Danio rerio: one gene and its partners. The protein of the gene in region 1 interacts with the protein of each later gene in a pairwise test. Links are inferred from orthologs where the notes say so. Each region holds a gene or a part of one and is shown in the gene's direction. Other genes may lie near its edges. The genes, in order: cert1b, csnk1g2a and rtn3.

What was found.
Region 2: the proteins of cert1b (region 1) and csnk1g2a interact in binary tests that used the Homo sapiens proteins (3 or more experiments, as listed by UniProt). The two-hybrid records come from large-scale screens. The link is inferred for Danio rerio from reciprocal best matches to the Homo sapiens genes CERT1 and CSNK1G2.
Region 3: the proteins of cert1b (region 1) and rtn3 interact in binary tests that used the Homo sapiens proteins (3 or more experiments, as listed by UniProt). The link is inferred for Danio rerio from reciprocal best matches to the Homo sapiens genes CERT1 and RTN3.

Annotation. Positions count from the first base shown.
Region 1 is NC_133196.1:3,163,078-3,173,326, reverse strand, and holds the end of cert1b (ceramide transfer protein), read left to right. Parts: intron 1-1,869; coding exon 1,870-1,940; intron 1,941-2,027; coding exon 2,028-2,156; intron 2,157-3,787; coding exon 3,788-3,917; intron 3,918-4,207; coding exon 4,208-4,335; 3' UTR 4,336-4,341; intron 4,342-5,714; 3' UTR 5,715-7,824; downstream 7,825-10,249. UniProt on the Homo sapiens protein: Shelters ceramides and diacylglycerol lipids inside its START domain and mediates the intracellular trafficking of ceramides and diacylglycerol lipids in a non-vesicular manner.
Region 2 is NC_133177.1:26,373,257-26,384,285, forward strand, and holds the start of csnk1g2a (casein kinase I), read left to right. Parts: upstream 1-4,754; 5' UTR 4,755-4,973; coding exon 4,974-5,213; intron 5,214-11,029. UniProt on the Homo sapiens protein: Serine/threonine-protein kinase. Casein kinases are operationally defined by their preferential utilization of acidic proteins such as caseins as substrates. It can phosphorylate a large number of proteins. Participates in Wnt signaling.
Region 3 is NC_133182.1:17,683,904-17,694,666, forward strand, and holds the start of rtn3 (reticulon-3), read left to right. Parts: upstream 1-4,698; 5' UTR 4,699-4,866; coding exon 4,867-4,960; intron 4,961-10,763. UniProt on the Homo sapiens protein: May be involved in membrane trafficking in the early secretory pathway. Inhibits BACE1 activity and amyloid precursor protein processing. May induce caspase-8 cascade and apoptosis.

The DNA of each region.
Region 1 (10,249 bases):
CCATAGTGTGTGTGTGTGTGTGTGTGTGTGTGTGTGTGTGTGTGTGTGTGTGTGTGTGTGTGTGTGTGTGTGTGTGTGTGTGTGTGTGTGTGTGTGTGTGTGTGTGTGTGTGTGTGTGTGTGTGTGTGTGTGTGTGTGTGTGTGTGTGTGTCTGTAAATATGAGAGCATATGGGTGTTTCCCAGTACTGGGTTGTGGCAGGAAGGGCATCTGCTATGTAACACATATGCTGAAATAAATGGTGGTTCATTCCGCTGAAATAGAGACTAAGCCGAAGGAGAATGAATAAATGAGATGCCACAAATAATATATTTTTAAAAAGAAATAAAAACAACATGCCTACATAAACACTTTATTAATTTATATGATGAGAAAAATGTAAATGGTAAATTTTATTTTAAAATGATCTAAATCAAAAATATTAATTAATAAATATTAATAAATAAAGCAACATGTTTACATGTTTTTCTTTTACTTTCTGTGTAACATATATATTTTTAGATATAAAAACAAAAGTGTTTAGATACTGATGAAAGATCTCATTTTTGTCTGAAACAGACAGAATATTTGTTATATCTTTCAAACGATATGAGCATATTTAAAAATAAAATTGAATAAATAAAGTAAAAAACAAAAACAATCAGTTGTCAATCTCGTGGCATGTTTTTTTGGTTTTACTTGGCATATTTTACATGCACAAACATCTTTTTTTATTATTAGATTTTGTAATACATAAACACATTTACATGTAGTTTATTGTCCAAGAAACACAACAAATGTGCTCAAATGCAAAATATAAATGCAAATTTACAGGAATTCAAATGTTTCCCATATTGTTTTAAAGATATTAAAAAATATGTTAGGAGTTGTTGAACTTACAGAGCTGGGTGCACCTCTAAAAAGATCTAAAGGACTCAGACATGGCGCCGAATGAATCTACACTGTTTTTCAGCCTTCCTAAAGCACACAAACACAGCTAATATCTTAATAAAATACATGTTAGCCATTTAGCAACAAAACTAGAGTCGCCGCGCAGACAGAAGCCCTGGCCATGACGCAAATTCACATTTATTGTGAAGCTAATTTGGCGAGTAAACTCAAAATGTTCACGCATCTGTTTACGCATGAATCACACAATTTATTTGCGCATGACACGTCTGGTGTGAACACAGCATTAGGATTTTACTTGACATGTTTTATTCAGTACACAAATGGCTTTATTTATTAGATTTTGTAATACACAAACACATTCACATGTAGTTTATTGTCCAACAAATGTGTTTATATGCAAAATATAAATACAAATTTACAGGTATTCAAACTCTGCCCATATTGTTTTGAAGATATTAAAAAATATATCCGTTCTGAACAAAATCTACATCTTACATCAGTATCTAAACATGTTTATTTTTACATCTAAACATAAATGTTACGAAAAGAGTTTCTTTAAATTATTATTGTCCCTCTAGAAAACAAATACTCCAATTTTTCAAGGTTTATTAAATTATTATTTTAATTGTTACTATTTTAACTACTTTAGTAAAATAATAGGAATTTAGGGCGTACTCACACTATGTACAGTTGCCTTGAACCGGGCCGAAGCACGCTTGTCCCCCCCAACACCAACTGCCAACTGACCCAAACCAGCTGCCTTCTTGCTGTGGGGCCACAGTGCTAACCATTGAGCTACTGTGTCGCCGGTCTAATATTCAGTTCAAGTTTACTTGTATAGCGCTTTTCACAATAATAATGGTCCCAAAGCAGCTTCACAAAAGGCGCACATCATTACATTCCAGTCCAAATCAGAAAGGTTAAAGAGCTGTGTAAAGGCTTGGCCGTATCTAAACGTAATCTTCATCTGTGTCTGCAGCTACTGTAGAAAACTTCAACATTGTGGAGACGTTGTCCGATAACGCCATCATCATCTACCAGACTCATAAGGTGAGGAGAGCGAATAAGTTTACACTGCTGTGTGTAATGCGTCCCCTCATGATCATTTCCCTGACGGACTGTTGTGTGTGTGTTCAGAGAGTGTGGCCGGCGTCCCAGAGAGATGTCTTATATCTGTCTGCCATCCGCAAGATTATGGCCAATAATGAGAACGACCCAGACACGTGGCTCGTCTGCAACTTCTCCGTCGAACACGACAACGCCCAGGTGAGTCTGGTCTCCATGGTGACCGCTGCATTTGTGCCGTCTGTTTTGTTTTTTTTAAATATATTTTTATTGAACATTTTTTTGTGCAAAAACAGGTCAGAAAATTATATTGAGTGTAAAGATAACAGAAGTTTACATACACTGTATAAAAGGCACATAACCATTTAAAAAAGGTCAGATGTTAATGTGACTAAACTTTTCCTCTTTTAGGTAAGTTAGGATGATCAAATGTGTTTCTGTTCTGCTTAATAGCAGAATAATGAGAGAGATTTTGTTTGAGAAATTGTTATAACTTTTCTTAAAAGTCAAGTTTACAGACAATAAGATTATTCTGCCTGTGAAAGAGCTCAGATGATGATGTCAAGGTTTTGGAAGTTTCTGATTGGCTAATTGACAACATTTGAGTTAATTAAAGGCACAACTGTAGAATAGTATTGAAGGAAAAGCTCAAACACACTGCTTCCTTGTGTGACAACATGGGACAATCAACAAGCCAGAATCAACAACAAAAGCCAGATTACAATTTGCTAAATTTGGAGACATGTCCTGTGCTCTGATGAACTAAGATTGAACTGTTTGGCCATAATGAGCAGTGTTACATTTGGAGGACAAAGGGGAAAGCCTACAAGCCTAGAAACACCATCCCAACTGTGAAGTATGGGGGCGGCAGCATCATGTTGTGGGGCTGTTTTGCTGCAGGAGCGACTGGTCCACTTCACAGCATAGATGGCGTCATGAAGAAAGAACATTATGGAGAAATACTGAAGCAACATCTCAAGACATCAGCCAGGAAATTACAACTTGGCCACAAATGGGTCTTCCAAACAGACCATGACCCTAAGCATACTGCCAAACTAGTTCAACTGTGCTTTAAGGACAACAGAGTGAATGTTTTGGAGTGGCCATCACAAAGCCCTGATCTCAATCCTATAGAAAATGTGTGGGCAGAGTTAAAAAGCTTTTTCAACTATTGTGAGAAGCTTATGGAAGGAGTCCCAAAACATTTGACTAAAGTTATACAGATTAAAAGCAAAGCTAAAATAATACCAAGGAAATGTGTGTGAATATTTGACTGTCTAGAAATTAATAAGAAAATTCTCAAAATAAAGTTCTCTCATTATTCGGGGCATTTAGCAAATGTAAATGATTTAGGTAATCCTAACGGACCTAAAAAAGTAAACGTTTAGCATGATTTACCATCACACATTTTTAAAAATGGTTATGTTCCTTATTTATAGTGTATGTAAAATTCTGGTTTCAACTGTATAAGTATTTGTGTGTGTATGAATATGTAATAAATATATTTTATCTTTATTTTATACTATTAATTGTTTAGTTACTAGTCATTTTTGCCATGCATTAAAATAGAGCACGATTATGTATTGATAATATATAGAATTTTAATCTGATGTGTGTATGTAGTATCTAAATATGATGAATTTTGATTTAGATATGATATGGTGAATATTCATATTTTTTGAAAAATGCTTATGCAAATTCACCAATTTACATTATGGTATATGTAATTATTAAGAAGAGGGTGTAGTTAGCATGTAGGCTAGAAAATGACAATTCTGTAATATTTAGATTTATGGCTGATGGTATGTTTTAATGCTTCTGTCTTTCCATAGCCAAACAACAGATGCGTTCGAGCTAAAATCAACATAGCGATGATCTGCCAGACGCTGGTCAGTCCACCAGAGGGAGACAAAGAGATCAGCAGAGACAACATCACATGCAAAATCACATACGTGGCCAACGGTGAGACTCGCTGCTCAAATAGTCTTAAAACACCGAAAGAGAGATTTTAATAATGCAGAAATATTAATATATACAGTTATGTGAAAAGGCCAGGATCATTTTGTCCTGATGATAGTAAAACTGGAATTCAATAGGGTGTCCTTAGAGTTATTAGCCCTCCTGTTAAATTAAATTTTTTTCATATGTCTTCCACCAATTTTTTATTATTTTTTTATTTATTTATTTTTTTAATTTTGCCCTCAACTGTATACAAGTTATAATAACGCTGAATGAATGTTTTGTGAACGCAGTGAATCCGGGTGGCTGGGCTCCTGCATCTGTCCTGAGGGCCGTCGCTAAGCGAGAATATCCCAAATTCCTCAAGCGCTTCACTTCCTACGTCCAGGAGAAAACTGCCGGCAAACCCATCCTCTTCTGAGCACAGGTACACCACATGTATTAACTACACCTGACTACAGAAGTGGAAAATGTATTGGGTAAAAATAATTAATGATGCCTTGTTGAATTATTAAAAATGTTTGCACACCCTTACAACGTCAAATCTGCATTATTTATATAATAATTCAATGTACTGGAGTGCATTATTGCACTTATACTCTCTGGTTCCCACAGCTTTATATTTTTATTTAATTTGTTTGTTATGCAGTTTATTATTATTGTTTTGTAATTAGTTATATTAACAGCTGTTATTATATGCATTAAATTATCTTTTATCTTTATTGCTGTAATTATTATATCAGATTGTAACATGTACTAGGTAATATGTGGGTATTGTAATCAATTTTACTTTAATTAGTTTTTTTTATTATTGCATTATTGTGAAATGTAACTAGATTTTTTTTCCACATTAAGTTTGTCATTTTAGTTTATTATTGTTATTATTATTATTATTATTTAAATATTTATTTTGTCTTTCCTAATATTTTTAATATATTTATTTATACGTAAATAATATATTCATAAATTATGTCTTTAAACTCACCGGCCACTTTATTAGGTACACCTGTCCAACTGCTTGTCAAACAAATTTCTAATCAGCCAATCACATGGCAGCAACTCAATGCATTTAGGCATGCAGACATGGTCAAGACGATCTGCTGCAGTTCAAAGCGAGCATCAGAATGGGGAAGAAAGGGGATTTAAGTGACTTTGAATGTGGCATGGTTGTTGGTCTGGGCTGGTCTGAGTATTTCAGAAACTGCTGATCTACTGGGATGTTCACGCACAACCATCTGTAGGGTTTACAGAGAATGACAAAATAGGTAACAGTTACTCAAAAAGCACTCGCTACAACCAAGCTCTGCTGAAGAGCATCTCTGAACACACAACACGTCCAACCTTGAGGCAGATGGGCTACAGCAGCAGAAGACCACACCGGGTGCCGCTCCTGTCAGCTAAGAACAGGAAACTGAGGCTACAATTCACACAGACTCACCAAAACTGGACAATAGAAGATTGGAAAAACGTTGCTGCTCTGATGAGTCTCCATTTCTGCTGACACATTCAGATGGTCGAGTCAGAATTTGGCATCAACGACATGAAAGCATGAATCCATCCTGCCTTGTATCAGCGGTTCAGGCTGGTGGTGGTAGTGTAACGGGGGGTCCAACCCGGTATACCCGGTGTACCTAATAAAGTGGCCAGTGAATCTATGTGTGCTGTATTTTATTTTTTTATTTTTTTATTAATTGGCTTTGTTGCAACATGTATTGTTCATTTTTCAACATGTGACCTCCCAGAAAATGCTAACGGAATTGATTATTGTGAAATGTAATTGTATTTTTGTGTTGTTCGCAGTTTCCCGGTTGAGCTGTCCGTGTGTCTGATCTCCAGCTCTGCACTCCAGCGCCCTCTAGTGAACAGAAAAACACACTGCGCCTCTTTTTTCCAGACTGTTCTGAATCTGCTGCAAAAGTTCATGTAGCGCCACACTACTTCACACAGCAGAGGACGCACCACAGATATCTAGATTCATACAAATATAAGTCAATGTATGTATGTAAGTACGTCAGATGGCAGGTTTATATATAAATATATATATATATATATATAACGGGAGAGATTTTGAGACAGGCTCTGTTTTAGTCCTGATTATTAGTTGTTTTTTTTTCTTTTTGAACAAGCATTTCAGCTTTGCTTTCATTGTCTGCGTATATTCGCCAACGTTCAGATTGTTCCGGCGTGTTTGTAAATGTCGATGTTTCGCCGTCTCTTTTATGAAGCGCAGAATGAGTCGCTGAAGAAGAGATGAAACGAACGATTGTTTTCTTTTGTTAATCCGTGTCTGAAACACCGTAGCACAAACCCAGATCGATCATAACAGGCAAAAAACACAATTTAATACGTCAGATTATTTGTGTATATAAGTTCATTATCGCTTTAGATGGTCAGTCGACGCTTTAATCTGACTAATTCAACTCCATATGCCTTAGCAAGTGTGTGTGCGTGCGTGAGTGTGTGTATGTGTGCGCGACTCCAAACACTTCTAGAAAAGTGCCTCATTATTGATCTTGCTGATCGCCCACATCCATTATATCAGAACGACTTTATACGAAAAGAAAACATTTCACGACGATTTCTTACCTCGTATTATTTAAATGTGATTTTGCAATCAGATTGTGTCATCAGAATAGTGGCATCTTATTGGAGGAGCCCTGATGCCAATCAAATTTTTTCTGTCCAATAGGAGGATGCCGTTCGAATTCGGGGGCATAGATGTAGATTTACGTAGTTAGTTGAGTTTGTTTGTTCGTTTATTTATTCGCTTCTTTTCTTGGTTTAAATTTGTACAACGTAAATTTATTCGTACAACGTAAAAATCTAAATCACAAACTATTTGAAACAATCGAACAAGGCACAAACAATTTTCATCTTGTTTTTTTGAGATCCGGGAAAAGATTCGGTAAATAAATTTCGGAATTTTTTTTTTTTCTGAAAAAAAAAAACAATTTAAATGCTTAACATTTTAAGTCTCGTTTTTTGAAAATATGTTAATGTTACGTGATTTTATGCTTAAACCACAACAAATTGCATATTCTTCGAATTATGTAAACACATTTTTATTATATTAAATAAATAAAATTAATTAGAAAGTATAAAGCTAGTGTATTTTTTAACTCGGTATTTTAAGCATAAACTCCCTTAATTTTCATGCATTTTTCAAAATCTTGATTTAAAACGTATCGTTATTTATCAGAAAACAAGACGAAAATACTAAGACAATAAATTTAATTGCGACGTTATTTTTTTTTTTGCTAAACATTTTCATTAGTCAAACCTACCCACAAAAGACTGTTAAATACAAAGTAGTGGACGACGAATAGCCAAACGTAGAGCAGATGCACGATCACAACATCCGAGTATTTACGGTAACATTTCAACTAGATGCGATTTTTCAAAACGGTAAACTCGTACAACTTAAACATTCCAATCGCACTCGCTGAACCCGAATGTACGAAACCACCAGAGCGAAACCGTAAACAAAACTGAATGTGTTACTCTAAAATAAAACAGCTGTTTACTGATTGGACTGTTTTTGGTGGAATCGGCCAATCAGGAGAGAGTTGAGTGGAATTAGTCAATCAGGAGAGAGTCGTATTAAAATGGCAAATCAGAAGATAGTTGGGTTGTATGGGCTAATCAGGAGAGAGTTTTGCAAAATTAGCCAATCAGGAGAGATCTGTGTGGAATTAGCCAATCAGGAGAGAGTTGTGCTTGTGACGCGCGTCGCTCTAATACAGTCTAGTGTTTTCTTAGTTGCATTGGCACTGAATGTAATGTCATTGGGTTCAGATGTTTTCGTGTACATACGTGTCACTCGAGGTGTCAGGATGAACATGTACTGTGAATAGAGGGCCCAAACGCTGCCCTGTTTAGAGAGGAATAAAATGATTGACATCTTTCTGCACTCTCTGACTCTTGTGCTCGTTATATTTGTCTAATTAATGTTGGTTTGCTTGAAGTTTAGTTTTTTCTCTCATTTTTAAGTTTTCTAATTATTATTTTGTGTTATTGAGATGCTTTTATTAATACTTTTATTATAATTCAGATTATTTTAGAAATGTTTTATTTTTTCACTTTAAGTTTTAAATATTTTAGGGTTTTTTATTTGTATATTAATTTTAAATATTAATTTTGCCTTTATTTTTGTGTGTTATTAAGATGCTGTTATAGCTTTTTATTTATTTGACATGTTTGATTTATATTTCATTTACAATATTTTAGGTTTTATTGTATATTAATTTTAAATATTAATTTTGCCTTTGAGATGACCGTCAAAAATGCTGCCTAAGCAAATATTTTCAAATACATTTATTTATATATAAATGATATTTCTATAATTTACAAATATAATATATTTATTTAAATATATTAATCTTTGCACGCTCTAGCTGCAATTAAATCAATAAGTATCATATACATTTTATAATCATTGTTATATTATTATTATTATTATTAATAATAATAATTATATAAATTATATTTTAATATATTTGTTTTCATTCATTTTCCTTCAGCTCAGTCCCACAGTGTAATGTACTGTCAACTTATCCAGCATTTGTTTCACACAGCGGATGCCCTTCCAGCTGTAACCCAGTACTGGAAAACACCCATACACTCATTCACACACATACACTACAGCCAATTCATTCATCGATTCCCTTTATAGCATGTGTTTGGACTGTGGGGGAGTCCGGAGCAAACCTACGCCAACACAGGGAGAACATCCAAACTCCACACGGAAATGCCAACTGACCCAGCTGGGACTCGTTCCAGGGACCTTCTTGCTGTGAGGTGGCAGTGCTAACCTCTGAGCCATGCAAAGCTTTGCTCCCGCCCTAATCAGACACACCTGATCCAACTAATCAAGGTGTTCAAGACTACTTGATTATTTGGATCAGCTGTGTTAGAATAGGGTTGGAGCAAAGCTGTGCAGAGCTGCGGCCCTCCAGGAACTGACTTTGAGTTGCAATAAAGCACAACTAAACACTTGTTTTGTTTATTATAAATAGCTGCATAATCAAAATATCCATAAAGTGTCATTTATATGTGAGATCTGATGTAACTTGAGCAAATATATTTGCATATGACCACCTCTCGAATAAAAAAAAAAATGATATTCAAATATTGTTTTACTGTTAGTTGATAACCGGGGTTGTCAAGTCACCCCTTTTAAACGTTGCTGCAGGTTTAATGGTATACACTAAAAATGGCTAGTATTATAATATTGCACATTCAGTCAATATTAAAACTGGTGGTAGATGACTTCTGTATAAAAGAGAAACTGTCTTTGAGTTATTAATACATTTAGGTTTTGAAAATATTGATTAATACTAAATACAGATTACAGTTTAGGCAACAGATGACTTATACAATGCATTGTGTAACGCTTGACATGTGACAATGAGTGACATATTTTGTTTTCTCATTTGGATTCGGGTTACTGGTTTGTTATTAGCTACTTTTGATTTGTTTCTGGCATTAGTTTGTTTTAAATAGCTGGTAATGGCAACCCCCATGTTAGCGCGCGCGCCTAATGACTAGCACCTGCAACACAAGAGTCCCTTCAGAAGCAAATAAAAGCGGTTAATGTTATTGTTTTTCATCTATTACATTTTTTTTCATCAAATAAAGCCCGTGATGTTGAGTTCGCAAAGAAAGCTTGTTATTTGATAATTGAAGCAGCCCGTTGTTTGTGGATCTAACAGCTAATGCTGCGTGGCTAAGGTAAGTTTAGGCATTGTACAATGCAGTCATGTAACGTTATCGAGCTATCAGGGTAATTTATTGATGGGAGGGAGTTTTCTCCTTTGGATTCGGGTTACGGGTTTGTTTACAGCTACCTTTGACTGATTTCTGGCGTTATTTTGTTTTAGATCTGGCAAGCTAACCCTTTCCTTAATGACTACTAACTTAGCACCTGTTCAATCAGAGTCTCTCCAGAAGCAAATAAAAGCGATTATTATTATCGTTTTACATCTTTTTCCAAAACCAAATTAAACATAATGTGATGTTGAGTTCGCAAAGAAAGTTTGTTATTTGAAAAATGAAGCAGCGCTTGTTTCTGGATCTAACCGGGATCCAACCGCTACGCTAGAGGATAAGGTACGTTAATGAAGTTCTCCAAATAGCAACAATCCCTCGCTGAATCTTTCAAGCAAACATACCCAACTGGTCCCGAGAGACACATAAAATAATAAAGGCAGTGCGGGTGTTTATTGCTAAAGATTTGCAGCTGTTTTCGGTGATTGGAGATGTGGGCTTTTGTCATCTTATAAAAGCACTCGATCCGCTTTACAGACTACCGTCTCGCATTTATCAGCACTGAGATA
Region 2 (11,029 bases), on another chromosome or scaffold:
TGCTTGTCATTACACATGGACATGTATTTCTGCTTTCTGCTTTTTTTTAAAGGGGTTGTTTGTCAAGTTTGCCAATTACTTCCTTACCCTCAGGTCATCAAAGTTGTTGTTTTTTTATCACTAGAACAGTACAGCACGTTATAGCTAAAACTGCAGTTCTTTGTGATTCTAATTAAAGTCAATGGTAAATACAGGGTAAACAAATTAAAATCTATGGCTACTGAGGTCTTTTGTTGTGAACCAGAAGGTCTGTGCAAGAAACTGAACATTATTTACAACATTATAATGATTAATTCAAAACCCTTGTTAAGTCCTGATGTATCTGTGACGTATGGAATGCTGTTTCCAGGTCCAAGCCGCTACTCATTTAAATTGAGAAAATATTCATTTATGACCACTTTTTAGTCATATCATACATTAAAGAGAATTTTATATCAAATCGTAGTGTACACATTAGTCTCTAGAGTTGCTGCATCAAAAATGATACCAAAATCACATTCAGATATTAGGCATGGACATGTATATTGCAATTTTGATGTTCAAAAGTATAACAGCGCTTTGTAAATCTTAATTATTACAATTTGATGAGTCTCCATATAGAGTTTGATAGAGTGCTTGGACCTGGAAGTTGCTTTATGTGACGTCACACTTAACAAGCAGATCTGCAAAGGCAAACTCTCTATTGAGCTTGAGATGTTTTATACAAGTCTTATGAAGCGGTGGTTTTGTCAAGAGCCACATATGTTAATTTTGTATTGCCTGTATGTGTATATATATATATATATATATATATATATATATATATATATATATATATATATATATATATATATATATATATATATATATATATATATATATATATATATATATTTTTTTTTTTTTTTTATTGCCGATAAAACTTCCTATAAAACTGTCAAAAAATTGTTACCTGCATCTTCAATATCTTGAGAGTGAGTAAATTAAGAGCAATTTAAATTCAGCTTAAACTATTCCTTTTATGTTGTACTGTCTATTTGTTTATCAGTGATACTACTAACTAACGTTTTAGAATTTATTTAGTATTGTTCTCCTATAAAAAAAAAATGTGGCAGCCCAGTTTTATTTTTATTGTTTAAATTAGTTTATTAATTTATTTTTTAAGAAACAGTAAATTTCCTACTTATGTATTTTTCTCAAAGCATTGTTCTCTGTTAAATAACCAGCCCATGGAAGGCATCATCTGTAACATCTGGCACGGTGCCTCCCTCTGAGTCTGCTCACAACATAACTGAGACACTGGGTCCAGGATGACTCTTGCTCGTCTTCACACGACCTCAGGCTTCATCTCAAGCTCCTGAGGGATGTATTTTTAGAGCTGGAAGTCAGAAACGCTAGATAACATTTCCTGTAGGGAGATGGTCTCTGGTTTCGTGTCCCTTAAACCTCTGACTCTAAATTGTGCTTTTCATGGAGACAATGATAATGCAGAGCTGTCTTTATTTGAAGTCTTTAAATTGAGTATGAATATGATTTGTGCTTGGTGTGGTATAATTGTTGTTATTCATCATCATCTTACCATAAAAGTGTTGATTTATGAATTCATCAAATGGTCTTATTCAAAGCAACTTACTGAAGAGAAAAGAAAAAAAGAGCAAACAAGCACAGTACACAATGTCAGGTTTGTTAATCTGTTAAATTCAAGATGCAGAGAAGATATGCAGTTATATTCTGATGTGTGTGAGTGTAAATGCTTTAGAGTTTATTTTCGGTTGTCCATTTTCTGCTCTGTTCTGTCTTTATTTTCGTGTAATTTTCATGATCACAAATGCCAGATTTTTGGCTTTAGCTGCCTTCTGATTCCTGAATGATGTGATGGCAGAGATTAAAACCACGAGAATAAGTTGGATAGTGGCTTGACTCATTATTAGTGGAAAACAAACTGTTGCTCATTGTGTATCAATCTAGATCAGGGGTCTCAAACTCAATTTACCTGGGGGCCGCAGGAGGCAAAGTCTGGGTGAGGCTGGCCCGCATAAGGGATTTCACAAAGAAAAGTCCTCAAATGTCATTATTAACAGTTTTAATTATTTCTTCTGAACATGAAGTGTCCTGAACATTAATAGAACATTGAGTGAAGATTATGAACAGTTCTTCTGAACATGGCATCTTTTGCCTACTTCTTGCTGCCAGAGACTTGACAGCGCTTCTTCTCACAAATCTGAACCACATTTGGCTTTAGAGCGGAAGCAGTTAAGACCCTCAATATGGCTTGAAGATGATCATCATTAAGTCTAGACCTGTACTTTGACTTATTGAAGTCCTAGGGAAAAAAGTGGGTGAACTCACTCAAAACTTCCATTCCCTCACCTAAAAAAAAAGGCGTATATATGTATAAATAAAACACCCCCACCCCACTCCAGTCACCTCAGTCTGTACCAGTCTGTATCTACCTATAATATCAATATATATAAGATGCAGGGCAGGCACGTGCACACATAGGGCTCAACCTGTGCAGTGCACATGCCCTTTTTAGTCTTGCATAGAAAGTGCCCTTCCAAAATGATCAAAAGTGCCCCCGCGACGCGACACACCCTCGGTCCCGCCCTTTAGTAGGCGTGTGATAACACCGCTCTTGAGTACGCGCGCGACAACACAGCTGATCAGAACGCGCGCGACAACGCGCATTGAATGACAAGCGCGCTGTGTATGGATAGAATCAGCGGAGCGGGGAGCGCTCTCTCTCCCCGCTCCGCTGATTCTGTCAGAGTACAGCGGTCGGCGCGGGCCACAAAATATTGCACTGAGGGCCGCAAATGGCCCGCGGGCCGCGAGTTTGAGACCCCTGATCTAGATGATATACACCACATTAATTTTCGTAATTTGTAGTTTAATAATACAGGAACACATCATGCATTCAAATTTAGAACGTTGATTAAAATATTTGAGGTATCTTTGGAGGGTTAAGTCAAAATCATTAATATATTTTTGTCTTTTACATTTTTTTGTGATTAAATTATTGTGGGCGGCATGTTGGCTCAGTTTGCCTCAGCAAGAATGTTGCTGGTTCGAGTCTCGGCTGGGCCAGTTATTGTAATTTCAGTGTAGAGTTTGCATGTTCTCCCTGTGTTCGCATGGGTTTCCTCTGGGTGCTCTGGTTTCCCCCACAGTCCAAAGACATTCGCTACAGGTGAATTGAGTAAACTAAATTGGCTGTAGTGTGTGAGTGTGTATGTATGTGAGTATGTATGGGTGTTTCCCATAACTAAGCTGTGGCTGGAAGGGCATCAGCTATGTAAAACGAGCTGGAATATTTGGCGGTCCATTCCGCTGTGGTGACCTCAGGAATAGAGACTAGGCAGAAGTAAAAATTAATAAATGAACAAATGAAATAAATTATTGCAGACACCATACATTTGGGTGAAAAATGTAATGTTTCACCTTCATTTCCTTTTTTAAATATATTTTATGCTTTTTCAACTCAATTCAATTTTATTTATATAATGCTTTTACAATGCTGATTTGTGTCAAAGCAGCTTAACATAGAAGATTATAGTAAATTAAAACAGTGTCAGTCTAATATTTACAAAAAAAGATTTCTTCTTAAGACCTGTGGTAGTCTTTTTCTCCAGTGCCTTCTGCTCAAAATCCTAAATAATTAAAAAGGTAAGATTTTACCACATATTTACAGGTTTGGCCTGTGTAGCAAATGATCATCTCCTCTGTTTATTTGCTTTTTAGCACTGCCGGCCAAATGAATTCAATTTATTTAATTATAAATATGTGGGTGTGTTGGTATGGATATCAGATATCAAATGGATTCTACATGTATGTGTTTTTATGTAGCATTGCACAAAATACAATACTGCATGCTGCTTTTTTCATTACTGTAATAATAATCAATAAAAATCTTTTGTTTTTGGAAGTTATCAGGGCTGATACCAATCTGTCAGTGATGGTGTGAAACAAAAAAGAGATCATTTGTCAAAAACACTAAACAAGTCACAAGACAAGACACTATTTAATGACCAACATTCATTCATTCCATTAATTAATTAATTAATTCATTCATTCATTCATTCATTCATTTTCTTTCCGGCTTATTCCCTTTACTAATCAGGGGTTGCCAGAATGAACCGCCAACTTATCTAGCATATGTTTTACTCTGCGGATGCCCTTCCAGCTTCAACCCATCTCTGGGAAACACCCATACACTTTTTTTCACACACATATTCTAGGGACAATTTAGCTTAGCTAATTTACCTATACTGTGTGGGAAACCCCACACAAACATGGGGAGAACATGCAAACTCCACACAAAAATGCCAACTGGCCCAGCCGGTACTCGAACCATATTGCTGTGAGGCATGTTTAAAAAAAGATATAAAGGTGAATAAATACCAGAAATTTCACATAAATGTGCAGTCACTCTCTCATCACCATAGTGGAACAGGTGCCAAGAGAGTGGAGTTCTCTGTGTACCTTTTTGCAATCTATTTAGTGCTAATTGTGCCTTTCCTCTGCCCCAGATATCGTAAGATGTACTTCTGATGTGCCGGCAGTTTCCTCTCAACGGCAAGTTTGATATGCTGTGTGTTCATCCATGGACACAGGGAATGCCTGACAAATCTCTGCAGAACCACCTGGAGTGGGTGCAAAGGATGGAAACCGACGCTGGACAGCATCTCACTTTCACCAGCTAGGGTCGTGCGCATGTGTCCATCTCCCAAAGAACGAGCTCCTCTGCGGTTGGATTTAAGGAAGATTTCCATATGATGTCCTCATCCTAAATCACATCACCCTTGGATTCCACCATCAATAAAAGCCGTTCATGTGTAGAGCCATATTGTGGATAAGCCATTCCCTCCATTCTCTCTTTCTCTAAATTCCTCTCCTCCATCCCATTCCCCATACCCCTGTTGCTAGTTGTTTTGGTGGCTCTGTGATTTTATGGCAGTGGAGTAATCGTGGAGAGGCCGGGGTATCACAAGCTTATGGATTTTGATAAGAGAGGAGGAGGAGGAGGAAAAGGAGAAGCGGAGGACGGAAAGAGAATGTCTAAGACTGGCGGGAGCAGGACAGGGCATGGGGGCAGCCGAGGCTCCGGGAACAACACTGGAGTGCTTATGGTTGGCCCGAATTTTCGGGTGGGAAAGAAGATTGGCTGCGGGAACTTCGGCGAGCTTCGACTCGGGAAGAATCTTTACACTAATGAATATGTGGCCATTAAACTGGTAAGTGCCTCACAGAAAATAGGGCTTTTCATTTACACAACAACAATGTGTCCAAAACTGTTTTAAAGGTTTCGCATCTCACAACACTTTAACTGTTGAAGCATACTTTATCTGATTGCAATAGTTTTAATTCTGTGAGGAATTTATCTTATTCACTGCGTTTTTGTTAAAGCAATTTTTAAACGGTGTTAAACCAAATACTAGGGATGCTCCGATCGATCGGCTGGAAATCGGTATCGGCCAATAATCACATTTTATGACTCGATCGGTACTTGCCGATCTCATGAACCGATCGCAGGTGTTTGTTAACGGGTTAGCGGCGCTACATGTGAGTAGATAAATGATGTGGGGTGGGTGGGGGGTGGGGGGTGGGGTTGGGAGTGATCGCAGCAGTCCCAACACAGCAGTTGAGATACACACAGATGTGATGTGGCCTCTGTTTATACAGTTTATTGATGCGACTCGTGCGAGTGATGGTCTCTTTTGGCTTGTTTTCACTGAGTGGTACAATACGTTACGGTACTGGTCGGTAGGGCTGCTCGATTATGGGAAAAATCATAATCATGATTATTTTGATCATAGTTGTAATCAAGATTATTCAAAACGATTATCAGTTGAAGTCAAAATGATTCACCCTCCTGTGATTTTTTTTATTTTTTATTTTTTTATAAATATTTCCTGAATTATGTTTTACAGAGCAAGGAATTTTTCAGTGTTTCCTATAATGTTTTTTCCTTTTATTTTGGCAAGCCTAAAAGCAGTTTTAGATATTTCAAAATCTATTTTAAGGTCAATATTATAAGCCCCCTTTGGCTATATATTTTTTGATTGTCTGCAGAAGAAGCTACTGTTATACAATGACTTGCCTAATTACCCTAATTAAGCCTTTGAATCGAACTTTAATATGAATGCTTGTATTTTGAAAAATATCTAGTAAAATATTATGTGCTGTCATCATAGCAAGGATAAAAGAAATCAGTTATTAGACATGATTTATTAAAACTATTATATTTAGAAATGGGTTGAAAAAAATTCATTCCATTAAACAAAAAATGGAGGGAAACGGGTTGCTAATAATTTAGGAGGGCTAATAATCAACTGCATATATACTTAGTTATTTTCCTCACTGTAAGTAGGAAAAGTGAAATAAATACAATAGATTAAATATATGAAACAAACTGTGCTTTAAGCATCTTCATTGTAAGAAAAAAAAACTTTAAATCTAGTTGCAAAAGTCTTTCATTTTGTCCTTTTGTTGTTTGATTAATGATTAAAACAGTAGGCAGCAGGTATATTGCGTGCTGTCACTTTAAGAGCAGTCCCGTTCTGGTTTTTCTTTCACATGTCTTTTGATTCTCAACTCTTTTGTTTATTAAACAAAGGAGGGTTAATTTAAATAATCACTAAACACCGCATTTTGACACCTATTAAACTATTAAAGCGCTCACATTAGGATGACTTTAGATGTGTGTGCTTTGCTCGTCTTTGAGGCTGAGAGCGCGCACACACAACAGCAGCATGTGCTCTCTCTTGCGCTTTTAAAACATGAATGATTTGAATGTACATCAATGAATGAAGCGCATCCCGTGCTGCAAACATTACATTACAGTACATGCTTTTAGTAATGTTCACATGAAATTGAGCTTTGCAGAGCAACAAATGTGTACAATTGGAAAGGGGGTGGTATATGATGCAATAATCGTTTCATCTTGATTAATGCTTTTTCAAAATCGTTAGAAGCCGAAATCAATTTTTCGATTAATTGCACAGCCCTACTGGTCGGTACGGCATTGTAAAGCTTAAAGCATCAGAATTGGTACTCTGTAACGGCCGATCACCATGGCAAGAAATTGGTACTCTGTATCGGCTGCAAAAATCCTGATCTGAGCATCCCTACCAAATAAACATTTTTAGTAAAAAAAATAATAATATATTTTTAATATAATCTTTGTCTCTAGTATACTTTTTCTCACCATAAAAAAGGCCATAGAAGCTGGCATGATGTAAAACTCAAACAAACAATCAATCACTTCTACACAAGAATGTTTTCAATTTGTTTTTGCGACACGCATTTGCAAAAGTGCTGTATTATGTATGGCAGGCCAGTATTTGGTGCCGTCACCTTGTTAGTTTACAGTACCTGTAAGAAAGTGACGACGTGGTTGAGCACTGGTTAATACATAAAAGTTGCTGTGTGTGTAAGATCTTAGCTTAGGTTGTTTAAAGTAAATCCATGTGCTCTGTCATTGTTGTATGTTTATGTGCACTTTAATCTAAACCTTCCTAAACATGCACATGCATAATGTCATTGTTTTCTCGTTTACATGTGAATAGCGACATTTTCAAGAAATGGACATTTATGGTCATTTTAGTCCTCAAATCACTGTTGTCCACTTTCACTGCTGCCTGTAGTGTGTGTGTGTGTGTTTGCTATTACAATGTAATTACTTGTACTGGTGACAAGAGTCTTACATATTTTTTGTTTGAACCAAATTGTACATCACAAGCAACGTTTCCATCCACCTATTTTTATGCGCATTTTGTGCGCGTTTTTGCACATAAAAAACGGTTGATGGAAAGCCAAAATGCAAATAAGTTTTAAATGCTCACAAAGTAAAAGTCTTAGTGTTATTGAATTATTAATTACCTCAAAAATGGTCAAGGGCGTCTATGCTCCATGTCTGACACCTTCAAACGCCACCACGTGTTAATTGCATGTTGGCATACTGTTTTCTGAGCTGCAAGTCATTTATTAAATAAAGAAAATATTCCCGCTGCTTCTTCTACCACAGCAAATATTTGGTGGCAGTTAATCAGCAAGTGACGATTTTGTTCTCTTTGACTACTTGACTACATTCTAATTATTTTCAGGAACGTACAGCTAAGTTGTTATTTGGATTATATGTGTTGTTTTGTATCATATGGTAATGTCTGGCTCGCATGTTGTCAAAAGTTGGGTATCAATCGGTAGTGAAATTTTATAAAGGTTAATTTCCCGCTAAATTATATTGAGTATTTCAGTACCTTTTGTGATCAGAGCGCCTCAGACATTCTTCCTGACGGATTAAGTCACTCTTTCACACACTTCACACCACAGGAAAATAGTCAAATATAACCTTTAGAATCACCAAAATAATCTGGACATCACCTAGGATTGTTGCTAGTAAAGAAATCAGCTTAACATCACTCCAGTTATGTTGTTGTGTGTGTCTATCCTAAAGTATTGGCAGGGTAATCATGCCGAATAATTTCAGTTATTATAAAACAGACCAAGTAAAACAATATGTTAAATACTAGAATATAAATTGATAGCCATTTACTTTATTCCATACAAAGTTGTTTTTTTATGTACACTGCATTTCTCTTTCTTTTCTAATAAATGTATAAGTATTTGGTAAATTTTTGTTATATAATAATATATTATATATATAATAATATATTATATATATATATATATATATATATATATATATATATATATATATATATATATATATATATATACATATATATATACATATATATATATATATATACATATATATATATATATATATATATATATACATATATATATATATATATATATATATATATATATATATATATATATATATATATATACATATATATATATATATATATATATTTAGAAATTCTGCAAAAATTTATATTGGTAGATCACAATTACCAATAAAAATAAAAATTGGAAGTACAATCGGTGCATTTCTAATCATAACATTACACTTTCGTCAGTGTTTTTGATCAAGTAAATTAAGTCTTTGTATGAATAAGAAACGTCTTTAAAAAACATTGCAAAATTTCAAAGTAAATACCCTCAAACTCGTGTACATAATTGTTGTATGATTGGCAGGTCTCATAGTGTCTTAATGGTGCTTAGTCTGTTGTTTAGAAGAATACCTGCTTTTATTCTGGTTTGTGACTGTGCAAACTGCAAAATAAATGAAAAGTTTTTCCTCCATGTGAGTATTTTAGTTTGGTTGGGGTTGTTTTCAACTCTTCATAACTCTTCAACTTTTTTGATAGTAATGCAGTAATGCGCAGCTATTGTAAAGCTGCTTTGAAACAATCCTTATTCTAAAGGGCGCTATATAAATAAACTTGAAGTGAATTGAATATACATGACACCAAAAATAAGTTATTACCTTCAAAGAGGAGTTAGTGTTTTGAACATGTAAAATATATAATTTCTAACCATTTTCTTTATAATTTGAGTTATGAATTACAGTATCGCAATACTATTTGGTATTGTAAAACTTCAGTTGATATAGTATCGTAAGATGAATTAATAGTATCGCAACAACCCTACTAAGAAGTAGGAAAACTTCAAATTCCTTAACAAAAACCAACCACACTTCTTTTAGATAAATTTATTTGCGTTTACCATTTTGTCATTATCATGTCTTACACTCCTCTTGGCAGGGTTTTTGCATTTAAATGTGCATTTTATTTATATATAAATTTATATAAAACTTATATATATATCATATGCTTCATAAAGACTCACCCAGTTACTTGTAGAGAGACTATCAGCGTTAGCTTATTTTGGAGTTACGTGCTGGAAGAGAAAACCTGTTGTACTTTTGTCTCTACTGCTGAGTATCTGATACATCCTGTGGGCTTTATGCAATCTGTTTGTTTGCACTTAATTATATATTTATTTGGCTCTTCCATTCTGCCTCCTGCTTGGTAGCGCTTTCCTCCGCATGCTCAGAGCTGCTGGTGCCACAGATGACTCAACCCTGGATCCTGCACTTAACTGAAACTGCACGCACAACATTCTCTCACTTACATTATTTATGTAAAAACCAGCTTTCAACTAAATGGACCAACCAGTATTGATCACTTGGAGATAGCCCTAACCTAAATCATCCATGCTCAGAAGAATATTAATGAAAGAAGTCACTTCTTTTAGATGAATTCATTTGCGTTTACCATGATGTGTGCATTTTATCAAGTAAAAATCTACACAGTGGGCGTTAATGCTTATAGATCAATGTTGATAAGTGGTTACATGGTACCTAGTATCAACCTTGGTTGTGATGCCCACACACCACGGGCTGAACTTCTCATGCATACCAGCAGCTAGCTCTCTGCAACTCTCAAATTGTCGCCCACTGAAGCCCGGTCAGTACCTGGATGGGGCGACCAGATAGGAAAGCTAGGATTCTGCTGGAGGTAGTGTTAGTGAGGCTAGCAGGGGCGCTCAACCTGCAGTCTGTGGGCCCTCCTAACGCCCCAGTACAGTAAAGGGGACTCTATACTGCTCAGTGAGCACCGTCTTTTGGATGAGACGTTAAATCGAGGTCCCAACTTTCTGTGGTTGTGAAAAATCCCAGGATGTCCTTCGAAAAAGAGTAGGGGTTTAACCCTGGCATTCTTGCCAAATTTGCCCATCGGTCTCTGTCCATTAAGGCCTCCTAACCATTCCCATATCATAATTAGCTTCATCACTCTGTCTCTTCTCCACCAATCAGCTGGTGTACGATCTGGTGCAATATGGCTGCCGTCGTGTGATCCAGGTGAATGCTGCACACTAGTGGTGAATGAGAAGATTCCCCACAATGTGTAAAGCGCTTTGAGTGTCTAGAAATGCGCTATATAAATAATATAAATGATTATTATTATTATTATAGCACACAACATTAAAAATGCGAGTTTTGCTTGAAGTCTTCATCTGATGGATGAATTCTGCATTTCTGTGTGCCATTTTATTTGTGTGCCTGTCTGGAAACAAAGCTGCCGTGGTGGCACATCCCCTCATAGTACAAGAAATCTCACATGTTTACAACTGT
Region 3 (10,763 bases), on another chromosome or scaffold:
TAAAACATACTGTGAATGACATGCAAGATTCAGCAAAGATTAAAATGTTTTTTGAAAATCAGTTCTGGTGCCATTATTGGGTCATTTCTGACCCTGATTTAAAGCACAGCAAATAAAATAGACAAATATTTAAAGTGTGTACTTGCTGGCTCAAAGGATGCCAAGTGGTCACTTAGGGAAATCCCCAAAGACACGTGTATAGCCACACTTGATGTCCCAAATGTAAAACTTAACATTAAATTGGATTAATTAGCTGTCAAATCCAAAATAAAGCTTTTGGATTGGCTAGAGTTGACATTAGACAGGTTGAACGTTTTACCTCAAGCATAAGCTCGAGGTAAGTTACAGTATACTCCACTGATACCAAGAGTTACATTTAAACAACCAGTATTCAGACATAATAAAAGAATGCCATGCAAGATGCTATCAATAACGACCCAGTGCATGAATTTTTGAGCAATGAAAACAGCGCAACAGCAACCCATGTGCGCCTGTGTGGACATCTGCATGATGCTGCTGCAGCTAACGTTAACTAGCTTGCACAAAATATCAGCTTCTGGTGTTTTTCTAGGTTAGAGGGCGTTTTGAATTAAACATATTGTTCTAGCCTTGCTTTCTAAACAATAACGCGATGCGTTGTTTCATCCACAAAACATACCTTTGTTGAAATTACATCCACATGCTTTTGTTTTGCTCCTTGCTTTTGCCGCGCAGTCAAAGGACAGAAGCTTCTACAAAACGCCAGAGACGTAAACAGTCTGCTCCTACGTCAAAACGTTGAACCGGGCAATCCTATTGTTCACAGATCACTTCCGGGTTCTAAAAGCATTTTGGGAAATGTAGTAGTGTCATCGTTGCTATTAATGACGGTTGGCGAGCCAGTTTTTGCTACATCACCGCCAGTGTTTGGAGACGAAAGTAGGGTGTGCACCTTACATTCATTGGTGTGTATTGACTAAATTACTTCCAAAGCGTAACGTTAGTCTGTTGCTTGCTGATTTTCAACTTACCATGTCATTTAGTCAATAATGTTTTTGGATTACTTTTACTTACGCTACTTGGATTACCTTTGGATTACTTTTGATTTTGTGCCAGCAGTTGTGTAAAGTAACAAATTACAAATACTCAAATCATTGTAATTGAGTAGTTTTTCTCAGGAATTGTAATTTACTAAGTAACGTTAGTTTTAAATTTGTATACTTCCCCTTGAGTCCCTCTTTTGTGCTGTATTGGTACTTTTACTCCACTATTTTCCTTCAACCTGGGTAAAGTCTAGATCGCATATGCGGTCGGCTGGAAGTGCGATATGCACATCAATACCAGCCTTTTTTATGACACTATATAGGCCTAACAATAATTAATATTTTAACAGTACTATGACGGTTTGGTTTAGGGTTGAGGTGGGGATAGCCGGCGTTAAAAACTAAAATTTAATAGGTAATTTAATAGATAGCATAAATAATACTCAGTACTACTACTGTTTTAACATTACTGTGACGGTTGGGTTTAGGGTGGGGGTAGACGTTAATTTAATACAATAAGTAGGAAATTTAATAAATAATATAAATAAATCTCAGGCGACCCAGTGGCGCAGATGGTAGTGCTGTCGCCTCACAGCAAAAAGGTCGCTGGTTCGAGCCTCGGCTGGGTCAGTTGGTGTTTCTGTGTGGAGTTTGCATGTTCTCCCTGCGTTCGCGTGGGTTTCCTCCGTGTGCTCCGCTTTTCCCCACATTCCAAAGACATGTGGTAGAGGTGAATTGGGTTGGCTAAATTGTCCGTAGTGTATGAGTGTGAAGGAGTGTGTGGATGTTTCCCAGAGATCTGGAATCTGCAGCTGGAAGGACATCCGCTGCGTAAAAACGTACTGGATAAGTTGGTGGTTCATTCCACTGTGGCGACACCGGATTAACAAAGGGACTAAGCCGAAAAGAAAATGAATAAATAATTCTTGTTAACTTCCGGCCGCAAGCATACTGGATCTGATCTAGCAAAAAACTTTAACCTGGAGTCACTACTTTATTTTTTCTTATCTATGGGTACTGGCTGAGTAGAAAATCAGTTCTGTATTTCCCGTCTAATCAAATCCCACATAGAAAGTAAATCACATCCTACTGAACAACATCAAGATATGGCTGCTTTATAAATGCAGCAAACCGTTTGGAAGCATTACAAATGTCCAAGAAGATCTTCATACGCTATGAACCAGAGAGTGTTTATAGACGGCATGTCACTGATGAGAAAATGAAGGATGTCGACTGCATGATGACTGAAATTGCCAAACAGCACTAAACAATCACTAAATGGAACAAATGAAGAATGAAAGGAAGGGTCAAATGAAGGAAGGGCCGAACAAGGAAAGAAAGGAAGGACTGAACTAATGAAGGAAGGAAGGACCAAATGAATGAAGGAAGCAATCAAGAAAGGACTGAACAACTAAGGAAGAAAGGAATGAACGATTGAATGAATGAACAAATAACCAAATAAAGAAAGGAACAAAAGAATGAATGAATCAGTGAACGAATTAAGGAGGGAATGAAGGAAGAAACAAACAAATTAATGAAGGACAGAACAAACAAACAATAGAAGGAAAAAAGGAAGGAAGGAACAAATTTAGGAAGATCACTAAATGGACTACAGAATGTTACGTTTACACATCCCTGCACAAACTGCATGAAAACACATCAACTTTTCAGAGTGTAATACTCGCTACTCTTGGGTACTTTTACTCATTATTTAAGTAATATTTACAACACACACTTTCACTCTACTTGCACTACATTTTTAATGGTACTTTTACTTGAGTATGATGTTTCAGTAATCTTTTCACCACACCTGTTGCTGATTTCAAAATTACTTTGTAATTTATTTTATAACAATTCTGGATTACTTTTTACGTACTTGGATTACTTTTGGATTACTTTTGACCTAGCACCAATGACATAAACTTGAAATATTTACCAAGTAGGTCAAAGTGGTTAACAGTAATCTGATTATGGGTAGTTTAAAACGTAATGTAATCTGGTGTTGTGGAAACAGTCTGCATAATCTAAATGACTTATAATTAGTACCGAAACTGTAAACATAACATACACACCTATTTGTATTTGTGATTTTGCCATTATGTTTTACATTCAATAAAAACACTATCAATTACTTATATGATTTAATTATAGATGATTGAGTCAGGATTACATATACTGTCTTAATTTGTTAACATAAAAAAAAAGTACATCAGCTTCGTCAACTGTTATTAGTCTTCATTGATAATGTTTTCAAAGTTTTAAAGGGCACTTATTTTACCCCTTTTTTAAGATTTATGATAAGCCTTTCGTGTCTCCAGAATATGTCTGTAAAGTTTCAGCTCAAACCCAGCAAACACATAACGCTCCCTGAATGTTTCTAGAACGTCCTGGGAACGTCCCTGCAACAAACATGATGTTAATTGCTTAAAAAATGGCCTTGACATTCTTTTTGTACAACCAAAAGGAAAACCAATTGCTAACAGTCAGATACAGTGCTCAGCATATATAAGTACACCCCTCTTAAATCTCTCTTTTAAATTCATATTTTTAATAGGAAGCAGTACAATATTATATTTGTGCATATGCATTACATTAGTCGGTTCTAAAGCCAAATCTGGAGCTTATCTAACAAAATAACTTACGATAACGGCCCTAAAACTAGTACAACCAAATGTATATGTTATAGAAAAATATTAAATACAAATTTAAAAAGAGGAAAAATTAAGAGAAGCAAAATTTTTTTACATTTAATAGAAATTTTGTAGGTTGTAATTTTTTTTGCAATATTTTGCTTAAATTTAATTGTATTATCTTTCAATTTCTAAATATATTTGGTGACTAAAATATTATTTTAATAATTATATCTGTTTAATAAATCTGTTTTGTTTAAATGCACCAAAATACAATGCCTATACACTGAAAAATGGATAATCATGTTCATATTCATGGGGTGTATTCAATTATGCTGAGCACTGTAGTTCTGAAAATTAAGTAGGAGTATACCTCTACACTACAAAAAATGCAACATGTCGTAACTCTACATTGGGTCGTGGATGAATTTGTAAATGAAACCTTGCTAATTAAAAACTTGACTCCTTTATTTACAGTCTATAAACGCAACACTATGGTTAACCAAAAGGGGGCGCTGTTGCACATGAAATAAAATACAGATCCACCATTTACTGTCATGGTAAGAAATAAAGATCCAGGGCTAAAATGCGAAAAGCATTACATAATCACATCCCATACAGTTGCACAGTGTTTAGTGTATCATTTCTAAGTAGACGAGGATAGATTAGACATCAACCTAATCCAAAACAGTCCGCAGTTTTTAGGATTAACAACTGTCTGGATGGTCAAGATAGAGACTGTAGAATCAGATATTATTTACTTTGATAGAGCAAGCATAAAATAGTTTTAATTATACTTTAATACAAAAAACACAGTTTATAACACGTGATACTGTCGGAATGGGACAAGTCTTTAGTTGTAAATGAAATAATTAATTGAACGGAAGAAAATTGAAGAAAAGAAAAAGTCAGCCACAGTATCTTTATAGTTTTTATAGTTTAATGGCGTAGACTTTTATGCAAAACATCGACCTCTCACCCTATTATCTCTCTCTCTCTCTCTCTCTCTCTCTCATATGTACCCGCCCTATATGTGTTCCACCGCCCCCATCCACTGCAACATTCAGGCAGGTTCACCTAATGTGCTTGTGCAGGCTCGGTGACGCCGCTGCTGTACTGGGAAATACTCGGTGAATCGGGACCGCTCAGAGTTTCAATCCAAACCTCAATCGACACCTCTATACTACAGACCCTGTAGAGCTGCGCGACAAAAAATGGCAGACCCAATGACCCAATCTTCTCAGATTTCGTCGTCACAAGGCCTAAACGATGGACATTCTGCAGCGTCTAAAGACTCAAAGTTTTCCGGTAAGACAACGCAAACGACATGCAGCACTGCCGTTAAATTGGTTATGTTTGCTTCTAAATTTAGAACGTGTGTTCGTGGATATTCTAAAACGGAACTGGTGGAAATGCTTTTGGCAGGTCACTCTGACTAGAGCATTTTATGACAATACAAACCGACACACTGATTCAGATCGATTCGAATGAACTTGCATGCTTAAAATGGGTTGAGTCTAATATTGGGATACTCTCGTGTTATGTAATGGTGTTGGTCTGTTTATTTCTCACGTACACTTTCCATAACGCCTCCTCTTGGGCATTGTAGGAAGACTATATTGACATTTTGTAGGGATAAATATCATGGCGGATGTCAGACTCAGAATGAATGTGTTCTCATCCACAGCTTTGACCTAACGTTTATTTTTAGGAAAAGGCCAGGGAGAAATATGAGGACACATAATACCTCTTTGAACCCATGCTGAAATGGGCACATGTTGCGGCTCAGCTGATGATCTGCAGTGCAGATGCATCCGAAACTGGAGGACCGTGTAAATCAAGGGAAAACCTACATACACACACACCCATCTACATTACTACCGACGTGACAAGCTGGAATAATCAACAGAGCTGTCTAAAACCCTATTATAAATCGTTCTTTTGAGTTGAATCTTAAGATGAATTAATTAAATCATTTCAAGCAATCGTTTATTTATTGGAAAATGTAACAATTTTATTAGTGCATAATAACATTTTTGTTGTAAATAACTTTTTTGTAACTGTAATGGCTACAATATATTGAACTAAATACAAATTTAATTAAATGCTTCATTGATGAAACCATAATACGCCTGCGTGTGGCTGTAATGGATTTTGTATTGGAAAATTTTTTTTTGCATGCTAGGTGATTGATGCCAAAAGTCTTTAAAAAGACAGAAAAACTTTTAATATGGAACCAGATTGTATGTTTGGATAAGCATCCACAACCATTGGAAATCATGTTGATTTGTAAAGGAAACATTAGCTAGGTTTCCTTCTAAAAATGTGAATTAAACTGGAATATCGCATAAAAAATATTCAAATAAGGCATTATTTCCATCCAATGAATCAAAGCGAACAAAATCATCACTTCCGGATTAACTGCCGTCAAATATCAACAGTAAAAATGGAATTTGCTGCAGTAGGAGAAGCTGCGTGAATCTTTTCTTCATTTAATAAATGCCTCAGAAGGCAATCCGGACATGCAATGATCGTGTTTTGGCGTTTGAAGGTGTGAGACGCAGAGCACAGATGCTGTTGACAGTTCTGGAGGTCATTAATAATATAATAACACTAGTACTGAAATGGTTAAGAGGTTTTAGAATGAGAAAAACAACATTTCAGATGCTTTACAATGTGCTCAGCCTGCTGGTTTGTCCATTCACACACATTTTTATCATCACATGATCTTTTATAACAAGATCACTTGACCTTTTTAATACGCACTCTGGAATTTGTTCAGTAAAGTGTTTACATCACAATTCATGCGCATCTTTTCTTATTGAACAAAAACGTTTATTCTACTCGGTTATGTGCATATGTGTTTTATGCGCATTTTTAAATTTATAAGCTTCTTGGCGTTTCCATCAACCGGTTTATATAAAAATAGGTGGATGGAAACATAGCTAATGTTATTGATTATTAGTTTAAGCATAAATATCGCAACGTGCGTTTATGCAATAGTTACAAGGCAAGATGGTCAATGTCAAGTCTGGAGTATATTTGACCAGCACAACAGTTCAGAACACGTCATTGCAAAGTTGAACTATAATAAATATGTGAGTGAAAGTTTATCAGTTTTAAGGCTCGTGACTGTAAGCATTTAAAGTGAGTTTTAAAGTATTCAAGCACAAGAAATCAAAATGTTTTAACAGTGATTTTTCTTTAATATGATAATGACAGAACAGTTGTGTTTTACATTTGATTAATTAATTTCAGTACCTGAATCTGTTAGACTTTCCGAAAAACAAAGCAATATTTAATATGTCTCTATTGTAAAATTATATATAACCATTCATGTATGTAATTATATTGCAGATAAAAGCAAATATTGCAACATTTTCAACATTATTCAGCCCTTTAAGACATTTATAGATTGGCAATCGTTAAAAGACTTTTGTCACTGATTGCCTTTAATGATTTTGGTCATTTAAAACCAGTTTATGAAAGAACCAGTTCACATAAATGAATCAAGTTGCCTCTGTCAAGTCTAAGTACATGCAAAAAAAATCTCTCTTAATAATTTGTTCCTGCTTGTCACGTTGTTTGCAGTTTAAGCACAGGCTTAAAGACATATGCTTTATTTTATAAACGCTAAACAAACCTTATTGCATTAATGAATGCTTTATTAGCCTGTCCATATTTACACATTTGCCGTCATGACATGCTGACCTTTGTTGGGTTTGTGTATGTTTTCCCTTTTGAAAACAATGAAATGATATACACAGGCCTTTGTTTGGTTCGTGCATATTTTTCCGTTGTGAAAACAATGCGGCGTGGTTTTGGATGACTGGATGTTGGTTCACAGCTTTTTAGGTCGTCAGCATATGTGGAGCGCTTCTGGCCTCCTTGCTTTGGCTTCATTAAAGCGTCTGGGAATCTAATAGAATTAGAACGTGAAGTTAAGACTTGTGACGTCACCCTGCTCTCAATTTTAAAGTCGTTTGATGCCTTCAGTTCAAATGCTGCTTTTAGCTCTTGAACTTGGACGCATTGAATTCAGTTGGGGATCAGAATCTGAATATTGCTGGATGTAAACATGACTGTCACGCTGGCTTACTATCACAGACACCATATGTGAAGGTGACAGTGGACCAGATGGTTAATTGTAGCTGCGTTGGCTCTCAAAGACATGATCAAAAAGTCCTATAAATCATTGGACGGTGCATAACATAACACAAATGACTAAACGAATATAATAAGCTGGTCAATTGTGCCAGACTTGGCCCAGTGTTGTTTTACTGCAGTGTTCTGGGTTTAATTCAGGTTAAGCTCAATTGATAGCTCTGAACTGACAGTTGGCACTTTAATTTGGAAATCTGTTGAGCAAGCATGCAATGATAGGCCCTAGGTTTTCTTTTTAAGTCATAATTAGTCACAAAACTCACAATTATTTGTAGTTATTCACAGCACACTACTATTTCTTTCATTTAAATAGACTTAAGGTTCATATTTTAATGTGTAAAATATTTTAAGCATTTCGATATGTCAGAATTTGTTCTTCTATTTGTTTTCTAGTTCATTTTGAATGACTCAGAAGCCACATTGACATGGAATTAATGAATTTGGCATAAATTTTAAGTACAGTAGGCTTTATTTTTGTGAGGAATTTATTTTAAAGATATTTGTATCACTGTTAAATCAAATTTCAAGTTTGAGTTTTTTTTAAAATGTTTTAAAATGTATAACTGCAGTACACACTTAAATTAGCCATACAAGCTAATATTGTGTTAAACAGAAACAAACAACAAACGTACAGTATTTCAAGATTATTTAAATGAAATTTAATTTTAAGTTCATTAAAGGTGCATACATAGCCTTTACAATAAATGTAGCATGTAGTATATTCATATAAATATAGAAAAATATTAGCATTCAACAACACTGTGCATGTCAACATCCCAAAAGCGTTTTGTCAGCTACGCCTAGAAGTTCCTGGCAGACCTTAACTTCTGTTTAATGCAGAACAGTTTTTCAAAATATGTCAGGACCAAGAGAGCGGCTCATAAATAATCTACTCTAGCTGTATCGATACTCTCTTTTGCTTTGTCAGAAAACAGTGTCTCACTGCCTTTCCCTTCTGTCTGGGTGTGAACCCTAAGGTTAGTACAGCTGGCTGAGACAGCAGTCTTAAAGCATTAGGTGTCATGATTCAGTCTCCTCGGGAATAGAGCTGATATTGCTGGCATGACAGAGATGCCATACAGGCTCTTCCAGTGTCAGAGGTCAATCCAGTCCCACTTTAAGCATCGCCCTGTAACACAAGCCGTTTTGGTGCATTTAACCCTTGCCCTTGCAATAGATGGTATCACAGAATCAGTTGTGTTGGATAACTTCACAGCATTTCCTTTTTGAATGTTTGCTGGCTAGCTACATGTGACAAACCTAATTTTGTAAGTTGAAAGGCATTATGAAATCAATTTAATCAAATTGTCCCATCTTATTTTTGGATATTTGATATTTTTGATCAATGACATTTTAGAAACTGAAGATGCTTGACCCTAGTAGCAAAGAATTCTGGCCCAGATTTGGCATAAAGCTGGGACATCAGGCATTCATCCGGCACTGGCATACAGCATGTGGGCCAAACATGGCCCGGGTTTGGCAGAGGTGGCACCGTCTTTAAGGCGGCACACAGGATTTGGGCCAGATGAAAAACTTAGTATTCGGCCCAGATTTAAAAATTTGATAAGTGGGCCATTTGAGTTTGGCCAGTCTTGACCCACATTTAAAATACACTAAAATCATTTTTGAGTAAAGAAAAAAAATTCTACCAATCAGGTCACTTTGAGAAAAAGCGTGCCCATAGTGTGCCTAAAGCGCATCACTCCATGGGTTTATCAATTTCATTGCAATCGTGACACACCAACCTATCTGGCCCAGTTCAGGCCCAGTTATGAGTTATTAACTTGGCTGAGACTTGGCCCAGATATGGTCCGTGTTTGGCCCTTGTCTGGAAGCCAGATTTGGTCCAGTCATGTACCGTAATTCACTGCGGCATGTGGGCCAAGCAAAACCTGATTGTGTGGGCCAGAGCTGGGCCAGAGAAATTTTGCTATGTGGGGAGTTTCTGTGCAAACATGGTATGCTTTCTTTCTTAACTTAATTTTCATTTACATGATGTTTCTTAACTGAAACTGCTCATGAAGTGACTTCCAGATCAGCTCTGGAGGTGAAGTTCATGTCCTCGTATAGTGAGATGGAAGATGCTGAAAACACCAAGGCTTATTGAGAGGATGGATACAAAAAATACAACCATGCCATACACACAGAACATGCAGACTTGGCCCTGACATACTTCAAACAAAGATATTTTTCATTCTTTGCTTGATAGAAAAAGAATTTTAAAATGGCTGAGTGACGCTTTACTGTTTTCAAACACTCCAACACCCCCAAGCTGCAGTAGGTGGGTTGTAAATGTGTCACGCTGCTCGCGTTGCTAGCTTGCTGTTGTTCTCCTCTTTGACCTCCATGGATATGAGATGTTAATCAAATATCAAATAAGACAGACTTCCAGAAAGCACCCGCCGATTACGTAATCATTATGGACCAATTGACGCTCAAAGGGGTTTAGGAACTCCCTCAACAATTTGCTTTGGTGAGCAGTTTCAAACTACCAAAATGAGCTCAAATAAAGGTTTGTTTTGGTTGGATTTTCTTTGAAATGACATTATATCTGTTTCCTTTTTGATTTTGTTTGAAGTATACAGGACCTTTATTGACCTTATTCTGCAATTCGGATGTGTGCTCATTTTTAGATTTGTTTTAGAATTTCCAATTAGGTTTGGCGATGTCAACCAATTTGGCATCGTACGATGTCTAATGTAAAACATTGCAATGTACGATGGCATTGTCATTGTAGGCGGCGGTGAATTATATATTTATGAATAATTAAGTAATTCTTAATTTTTTGTAGCCTAACACACCATTTCAAATATCTGGTCTTTGGTCTTCGTTTTACCCACAATCAAATCATAAATAAATAAAGATAAGTTAAGCACAAATTACAACCTTTCAATTACTTTTCTACGGGATTCTGGCATGAATAGGCAGAGTGATCTGTGTTGTTATA